Lonchura striata: one gene and its partner. The protein of the gene in region 2 purifies or fractionates together with the protein of the main gene of each other region. This does not show direct contact. Links are inferred from orthologs where the notes say so. Each region holds a gene or a part of one and is shown on either strand. Other genes may lie near its edges.

Region 1 (3,906 bases), on a different chromosome or scaffold from region 2:
ACATGGAACTGTTCTCCCACCCCACCAATCGGCCTGTGGGGATTGAAAAGTGTAAAATTTCTGCAGAATAAAAGTTGCTTAAAATGTTTTACCTGCAAACCAGGGGTAAACATCCTACCAAGAAGCCTCAGAGATTTGGTTTGTGATTAATTTCATTAAAATGGCACATGAAGAGGTTTGTCTTCCCTAAGGACAAGGACAAAGATGGATTTAAAGAGGAGATGATGCCCTGGGTTTGCTTAGTTCACAAATAAAACCCAAAAGCATTTCCAAGGAAACTGGACAATAACTAAACCAGCACTTTTCAGACACTGAATCATTTAACAATAAGGCTAGAAATCAATCAGCTGCAATTAAATCCCAATTTTTGATACCATTTGCTGTTACTGTGTGTATCCTTTGGCCAGGAGCATCCACACGCTCCTTAAGGCATCAGTTTGGATATGAGAAACAAAATCAGGCAAGAAATAACAAAAAATGTAAGAAAGAAAATACTGGAGTTGTATTTTTCTAGGTAAATCCCTGTTTAAACCACTGAAATCTTTGGAGTTTGTACATGTGCAAAACTCCCCAGCCTCCAGAAAGAAGACCCAAAGCGTTTGGAAGTGAAAAGCAAAATCTTGGCAGGAAATGGAAGGATTAAAGACGACAAAGGTGTCCGTCACTCTGAGAGGAAGTGGGGAGCCGCTTAATTGGAAGTGAAAGGCAGGACATGCTCATTAATTAATTGTTATCCCCCGCTATAAATAGGGCTTTGGCAGCGGGGGAGTGCCTGGCCGTGGGTCAGCTCTGTCCTGCCGGGAATAGCACCTAATCCCAGCGTCCTGCTCCCGGGATTAGCGGGGCAGGAACGGTCCTGGAGCAGCAGCCTTGTCCATCCCGGGTTTCCAGGAGCAGCTCAGGGAAACCGAGTCACGTCCTTCGTCCTTGGGGACCCCAGGGGGACCCTCGGGTGTGCCCAGCTCCCTCGTGTGTGGGAGCTTGGGGTGGGTCTACGAGATTTGGGGTTGTTTGGGGTGGTTTGGGTAGACCTGGAGGGGGTTTGTGTGTGTTTAGGATGGGCTTAGGTTCGTTTTAGGGTGCATTTAGCGCGGGTTGGAACGGGTTCGTGTTGTTTTACGGTAGGTTTGGGTGGGTTTAACTGCGGGGCGAGTCCGGCTGGGTTCAGGCTCAGTGCTCCGCCCTCGGGTCCCTCGGGAGGGGAAGGACGGGCCGGGGCTGCGGAGCCCCGGGGCCGCGGCGGGCGGGGCCGCTCCCGCGGCCGGACTACAGCTCCCGGCAGGCAGCGGGGCCGGACGGGGCGCGGCCGAAGCGGGGCCGAAGGCGGCCGAAGCGGGGCCGAAGGCGGCCGAAGCGGGGCCGAAGGGGGCCGAAGCCGGACCAGAGCCGGGCCGAAGCGGGGCCGAAGCCGGACCAGAGCCGGGCCGAAGCGGGTCAGGGGCAGGCCGGTAGCGCAGCATCCCCGCCAGGATGAACGCGGTGCTGGCGGTCCGGCAGTACGTGTCCAAGATGATCGAGGACAGCGGCCCCGGCATGAAGGTGCTGCTGATGGACCGGGAGACGGTGAGCGGCGGGGCCGGGAGCGGGGCCGGGAGCGGGGCCGGGAGCGGGGCCGGGGCCGGGCCGTGACGGGCGCTGTCCCCTGCCGCCCTCAGACCGGCGCCGTGAGCGTGGTGTACACCCAGTCCGAGATCCTGCAGCGCGAGGTTTATCTCTTCGAGCGCCTCGACTCACCCAACAGGGAGCCCATGAAGCACCTCAAGGCCATCTGCTTCCTGCGGCCCACCAAGGTACGGGGCAGAGCGGGAGGAAGCGGCCTTAAATGGTGCTGGGGAGGTTTAGGTTGGATATTTGGGAAAATTCGGCCATGCAAAGGGTTGTTCAGCCTTGGCACAGGGCAGTGGTGGAGCCACAGTCCCGGGAATTGTTCAAATCCATGTGGATGTGGCTGCTGGGGACAGGGGTCCCTGGTGGCCTTGGCAGTGCTGGGGGAATGGCTGGACACCAAGATCTCAGAGGCTTTTCCAACCCTAAGGATTCCATGGTTCTGTATTCCTTAACTCTGCTCTTCCTGGTGCTGTTTCCATCCAGGAGAACGTGGAGCTCCTGGTGCAGGAGCTGCGAAGGCCCAAGTACAGCATCTACTTCATCTGTGAGTATGCAGAGTCCAGGGGTCCTGGAGCTCCATCAACCTGGAACAGGCTCCTCATCCCAGTGTGGATGGGACGGGCTCCACACCTCAGCAAAGATCACACGGCACCTTCCTGTGCCAAGCGTACCAGGCAGGGGCTTCCCACATGTCCTGCTCAGGGAATGTTCCATGAGTTTGGGAATGAGGCAGAATGACTCCAGCTGGTTTGGGGTGGAAGTCCAGTCCTGCAGGCCAGGAATTAATCAGAAGGATGTCAGGAACTGGGTGAAGTGGCCTCTAGATGTCATCGTGGCTCTGCAGGACGCAGCGGGACCAGGCGCTGGGGAGATGGACAGGGAATGAGTTGGGAGCATCCCTGGGAGGTGGCTCGGGATTCCAGCACCGGCAGGTGCAGGGTTAGAGGGTCCCTGTGGGATCTGCTCCTGCTCCAGAGGGGATCAGACTGCCCATCCCACAGGGTCTGCATGGAGCCCCACTGTCCCGTCCCTGTTTTCTCCCAGATTTCAGCAACGTCATCAGCAAGAGCGATGTGAAGGCCTTGGCCGAGGCCGATGAGCAGGAGGTCGTGGCTGAAGTCCAGGTGAAGTTTGGATGTTTTTAGATAGATCCAAAAACAAAGGGAAGGTCCAGGCTGCCAGACACTGGGAGCAGGAGGGCTGTTGTTCCCAACTGGTGCATGCCAGGCCTGGGTGAGAGGAGGGATGGACACAAATGTGGGATGAAGAGGTAAAAGGTAGAAAAGGTCTCATTTCTCTGTGCCCTGTGCTCTCACAGCTGCTGCTGGTTTTGGTGTCTCACAAGGTGCTGCCTAGCTCAAATCCATGGGGATGTGGCACTTGGCAGCAGGGGGTTAGAGGTGGCCTTGGCAGTGCTGGAGGGACAGTTGGACTCAGTGGTCTTAAAGGGCTTTTCCAAAGCCAGTAATTCCACGATTCCTCATTTTTGGTGCTGATGAAGAGCTGGGCACCAGAGCAATGCACAGTACCAATGGGAGTTCTCAGCGGGGTTGGAGGGGTTTGGGGTGGAGGAAGGAAGGATGTTCTGAACCAGTGTGTCCCGGTGGTGGAGGGGGCTGTGTGGTCAGTGGTGGCCCATGGCTGTGCCTGGGGTCAGGGTCAGAGACACAGGGCTGTCCTGCTGCCTTCCCCAGGAGTTCTATGGCGACTACATTGCGGTGAACCCACACGTCTTCTCCCTGAACCTCCTGGGCTGCTGCCGGGTAGGAACACGGCGAGTTGTCCTTGCACTGGGTAACGTGTAGCCCTCACAACCCGGGGCATTGGGGGGCTGCTGGAGGGGAATGGGCCGTGGCAAGGAGAGGAGCAGCAGGGAGTTTGTGTTCAGCCCCTGGGTATCTGCTGCTTCAGGGAAGCTGTGCTTTCCTGTGAGACTTCAGGGCTTAGAAACAAGGACGTGGGAAAGTTTGGGACCAGTGCATCCATGTGAGGTGCAGCCTTTCCTTCCAGGGCCGCAGCTGGGACCCGGCTCAGCTCACCAGGACAACCCAAGGGCTCACTGCTCTGCTCCTGTCCCTGAAGAAGTGCCCCATGATCCGGTACCAGCTCTCCTCAGAGCCAGCGAAGCGCTTGGCCGAGTGTGTGAAGGTGAGAGCAACCCACAGCACATCCCTTTAGGATGAATTCAGTCTTGGTTAGTTTTTTACATGTGGAGGGAAACACCTGTTTTCAGTCAATTCCTGTAAATTCCATCATTTACTTGGAAGCCCAGCACTAGGCAGGTCATGTCCTGCTCCG
Region 2 (3,906 bases):
CCCATTTTAATAAGAGGTGATTGCCACCTCAAATCCAAGGAAAAAGCTGACAGTTTAAATTGTTAGATAATGTTTTTGTCAAACATGCAAACTAACAACTACTTTAAGTGTAGCCCAAAAGCTAGAGATTTTATATACTTATAACTTTTAATGAGTGGATTATCTTTTTTGTAAAGTGACAAGATGAAGCTAGTTGCACAGAGGTAAACACAGATTAAGCAGATCTCAGCAGGACAGCAACAATAACATGATTAACAGCTCCCTGAAGGGTAGTTCGGGTAACGACTCTATACATGTCTTTTCTTCTCCCCATTAACTGTGTTTTCCCCACACTCCACCCAAGGGATCGGCTGCTCAAAGAAAGTGTGCAAACCATAACCCCCTGCTAGCGAACACAGACACAATTCCAAGCCACTTAGGCAATACTGTAGCACTTTCCCAATTCAGATCAAAACTTATTCCCACTGTGTATTGCTTTCCAGTTCTCCTACCTACTTCCTGGGGCTCCCACATGTATGGATCTACTCCACCATAGCTGAATGACTCATATCGTTCCTGAGATCCAGAATCAGTTCTGTCATCATCTTGTTTCAGCAATTTCTTCTTTGCTCTTTTGGCCTTCTGGACTAGATCTGAAAAAAATAAACCCAAGTTATCTGACATATCAGGTAGTCACCAAATATTTGTCATGTGAAGCCAGTATATTCATCTTCTTTTAGCAGAAACCTTTCTTCTGGATAAATTTATCCTCAAAACATTCTTAGAACAAAAATGCAGTTCAGAGCAACACAGATGACACAAAATGCTCTCTGCTGTCTGTCATAAAGCAGCATGAGGTCCTAAGGACAAGACAGTAGATTAAAACATTCCATTGTCAGACTTCACTGTAAAACAGCAACATGTCTTAAACTATGGGACCTATCTCACTGCACAAAGCATCATATAGTTTTATCTTAATTCTCAAAATTCCCTATTATTTTCTTCAGATTCAAGGACGTCCAACACATTCCTTGTTTTATTGCACAAGCTACCAATTTCAGTGTGCTTGTACACATAAAGACTTTTTCAAGTACTAAACAGCCCAGTGTTAGGGTTTCACCACGAAAATTGGTTAGTACTTCAAAAGTCTATCTCAAGAGAAAAACAAATCAAGACTGCGAGGCCAGTACTTCTAGCATACTAAAACCAGAGTTTGCAGGAAACATAGAGAATTATCGCCAGATTTTAAACATTTTAAACATTCTTCTCTCAATATAAAATGACATTGTATACATAAGGGGGGTAAAAAAAGGGAAATATCTTAGTGAAACAAAATTCAAAGAGATTTTCCAAATACTAATGAAGGGTGGAACTCCCTAACAGATATGGAACACTCCCAGCACTTCCTGCTAGTTCCACCACCCACATGCTTTTCCATGTTTTTCCAATAACAACCTTTCTTAACTTCACACTTTAACTGCAACCACAGCTTTATCTACTGTCAAAACAAGAGATTAATGAACTGGAACCTGGTAAGTACCAGAGATTCCCCATATTCTCCACAGTCTTCAAGTAAATCTTGGGTATTCACTGGGTTAGTATAATTTTGAGTTTTCAAGTAAAAACAAACAAAAAAGCCTAAAAGATCAACAGTAAAACTCGTGCATAAAAGCAGACATTTGTAGAGCAATGTTCTTTAGCGCCTACTTTAGAATAATTTATGGGAAGTATCGGGAGAAGGTTAGTACTATGCTTGGCCCAAGGAGATTTACGGAAGAATGGAACTGCATACCTCGCCTGTAAGTCCCTCCAATTGATATTTTATTATTGTCAGACATTTGGGAGCACTCGAAGTACGAGCAGGGATTTCCCACGGCCAAGCCGAACGCATTTACCGCGGCCGCCCTTACTTCGGAGTTGCGCCCTGACGTCCCGGTCTTCGCCCGGGTGCTGCTCCTCGTAGTGCGCCTGGAGCTGCCGGAACGCCTGGAGATCCTTCAGGCACAGCGGGCACAGGAAGCCCTCGCGCACTTCGGTCGGGTCCCCGAAGGCCGCCGGGCAGCCCGACGCCATCGCGGCCTCGCCTGCTGCCCTCACCGACTGCAGGGATGCGGGGGCCGCATCGTCCTTAGGCACTCCCTGAAACGAACCAGGCCAGGGCCGTGTGACCCGCGGCGCAGGATGCGGCGGGAAGGGCCCGGGCTGGGCGCGAGCCCCTCCAGGGGCTTCCCGCCGGGCCCCCGCCCGGTTCCTCCAGGGGCTTCCCGCCCGGTTCCTCCCCGCCCGGTCCCTCCGCGGCCCGGCCCCGCCCCGCCCGGGGCAGGAGAGAGGCTGCGCAGGGAGATGAGCGGGGCTTGAGGCGATCCGCCCGCCTGGGGAGAGGCCGCTGAGGGCTGCCCCGGCTGCCTCAGGGTCCGTGGCCCAGCGGCAGCCCAGGGACGGCCCGGGAAAAGCCTGGGGCAGGGCTCGCCTCACCTCAGCGCCCGGGCGGCCGGTGACTATCTCCAAAACAGGGCGGCCGCGGCCCGGCCCGGCTGCCGGGAGCGGCAGAGCGCGGCGGAGGGCGGGGCGAGGGATGAGCCATGGATGGGAGGAAAGGGCGGGGAGAAGGAGGGCTCGTCCGACGCCGCGGGGAGGCTGCCGAGCGCAGCGCTGCCGCTGGCGGTTGGGAGGCGGCAGCGGCAGCGGCGTCTCTGCGGCCGGCGCTGGTCGCCGTGTCCAGCCGCCTCGCAGTAGCCCGGGGTAACGAGCCCGCAGAGCTGCGGTGACAGAGTCCCCTCCAGGACGGGACGGCGCTGTCACGTAGGGGACATGCGTCCCTCCCCGGTGCCCTGGGGCCGTTCCCATAGCACTGGTGGGTCTATGCTGTGTGTCCTAATCGCTGGGCACGTTCAAGAGGAGCACCGTTGCCAATGTCAACACGCTCAACGTTCCCTTTCCCAGCCTACTGAACGTTCCTAAAGGAAGTGTCCCAAAACTGCAAACTAGAGCATCCGGTGACGTACTTAGCCACAAAGAAGCCCAGGAATCCTACTACTTGCCTCCTGACAAGGAGCTATGTAAATCAACGGCAGGGCATTTTTCGTGTCCCCTTTCTGATGCCAGCTTTTGTTTAGTCTGAGCTGGCAGCAGTCCCTTCTCTCACACACTCCCAATCAAATAGAAACAATAGGAGTGTGTAATCACACATCGGCTTCGTGTGTTAGGATTAAAGCTCTTGGAGGCAGAGATTTTCTTACGTGGCGATGCTATTTACACTTGAGACCTGTCCATTAAAGGTGGACTTTGACTCATCATGCCCTGCACTTCTACCTTCCATATTATGACCTTTAAAACCTTTTCAGCACGGATCGTGATGGGGTGAGGAAGAAAAGAAGCAGCCTGAGGCTCAGTGTCTTCGATGATTCACGTGCTGTGGTGTCATCCCCCTGGATTTGCTGGAGCCGGGTAGTTTCCTGGCGGTGAGCCATACCTGTGCCACACAGTGGCACCAGCTGCCTTTGTTGTTCCTTGCTCCTTTTGTCCTCAATTGAGGCCAGTGAGCTGTAACTCACTGAGTAGTGGAAGAACGCTACAGCGATACACGTCTCTAGAAGAACTGCAAGAGCCATGTAGGCGCAGAGCTCTTAGGGAGGTTTCTGTTGGTGTTTCAGTTTTCTGGTTCCTGTTACATGCGCGCGATTTGTCATGAGCGTGTAGGGAACGGGCAGAAAAGGGGGTGGGTGAAGGATGGGAGACGTGGCAGTCACTAGATGGCGCAACAAGCACGTCTGAGAGCAGCCGAGGGCCCGTGGCGGCCTCGGCCGTGCGTTACAGGCGTTTGCTGTAAAGGTTTTTCTCCTGCCTGTGTACTGTGAGCCCTGCTGACCCGGGTAGTCCATCCTCTCTTGCCGTTCCCAGGTAGTAAAAATCAGGTATGTAAGGAAA

Evidence for each region.
Region 1: the proteins of RBSN (region 2) and VPS45 purify together in Homo sapiens (affinity purification with mass spectrometry; 4 studies listed by BioGRID and IntAct, counting the BioPlex papers as one, with this or other methods). This does not show direct contact. The link is inferred for Lonchura striata from reciprocal best matches to the Homo sapiens genes RBSN and VPS45.

The regions. Positions count from the first base shown.
Region 1 is NC_134635.1:2,747,554-2,751,459, forward strand, and holds the start of VPS45 (vacuolar protein sorting-associated protein 45), read left to right. Parts: upstream 1-1,299; 5' UTR 1,300-1,470; coding exon 1,471-1,563; intron 1,564-1,655; coding exon 1,656-1,790; intron 1,791-2,091; coding exon 2,092-2,152; intron 2,153-2,652; coding exon 2,653-2,732; intron 2,733-3,302; coding exon 3,303-3,371; intron 3,372-3,618; coding exon 3,619-3,756; intron 3,757-3,906. UniProt on the Homo sapiens protein: May play a role in vesicle-mediated protein trafficking from the Golgi stack through the trans-Golgi network.
Region 2 is NC_134614.1:24,100,503-24,104,408, reverse strand, and holds the start of RBSN (rabenosyn-5), read right to left. Parts: upstream 2,554-3,906; 5' UTR 2,455-2,553; intron 2,119-2,454; 5' UTR 2,053-2,118; coding exon 1,890-2,052; intron 633-1,889; coding exon 492-632; intron 1-491. UniProt on the Homo sapiens protein: Rab4/Rab5 effector protein acting in early endocytic membrane fusion and membrane trafficking of recycling endosomes. Required for endosome fusion either homotypically or with clathrin coated vesicles.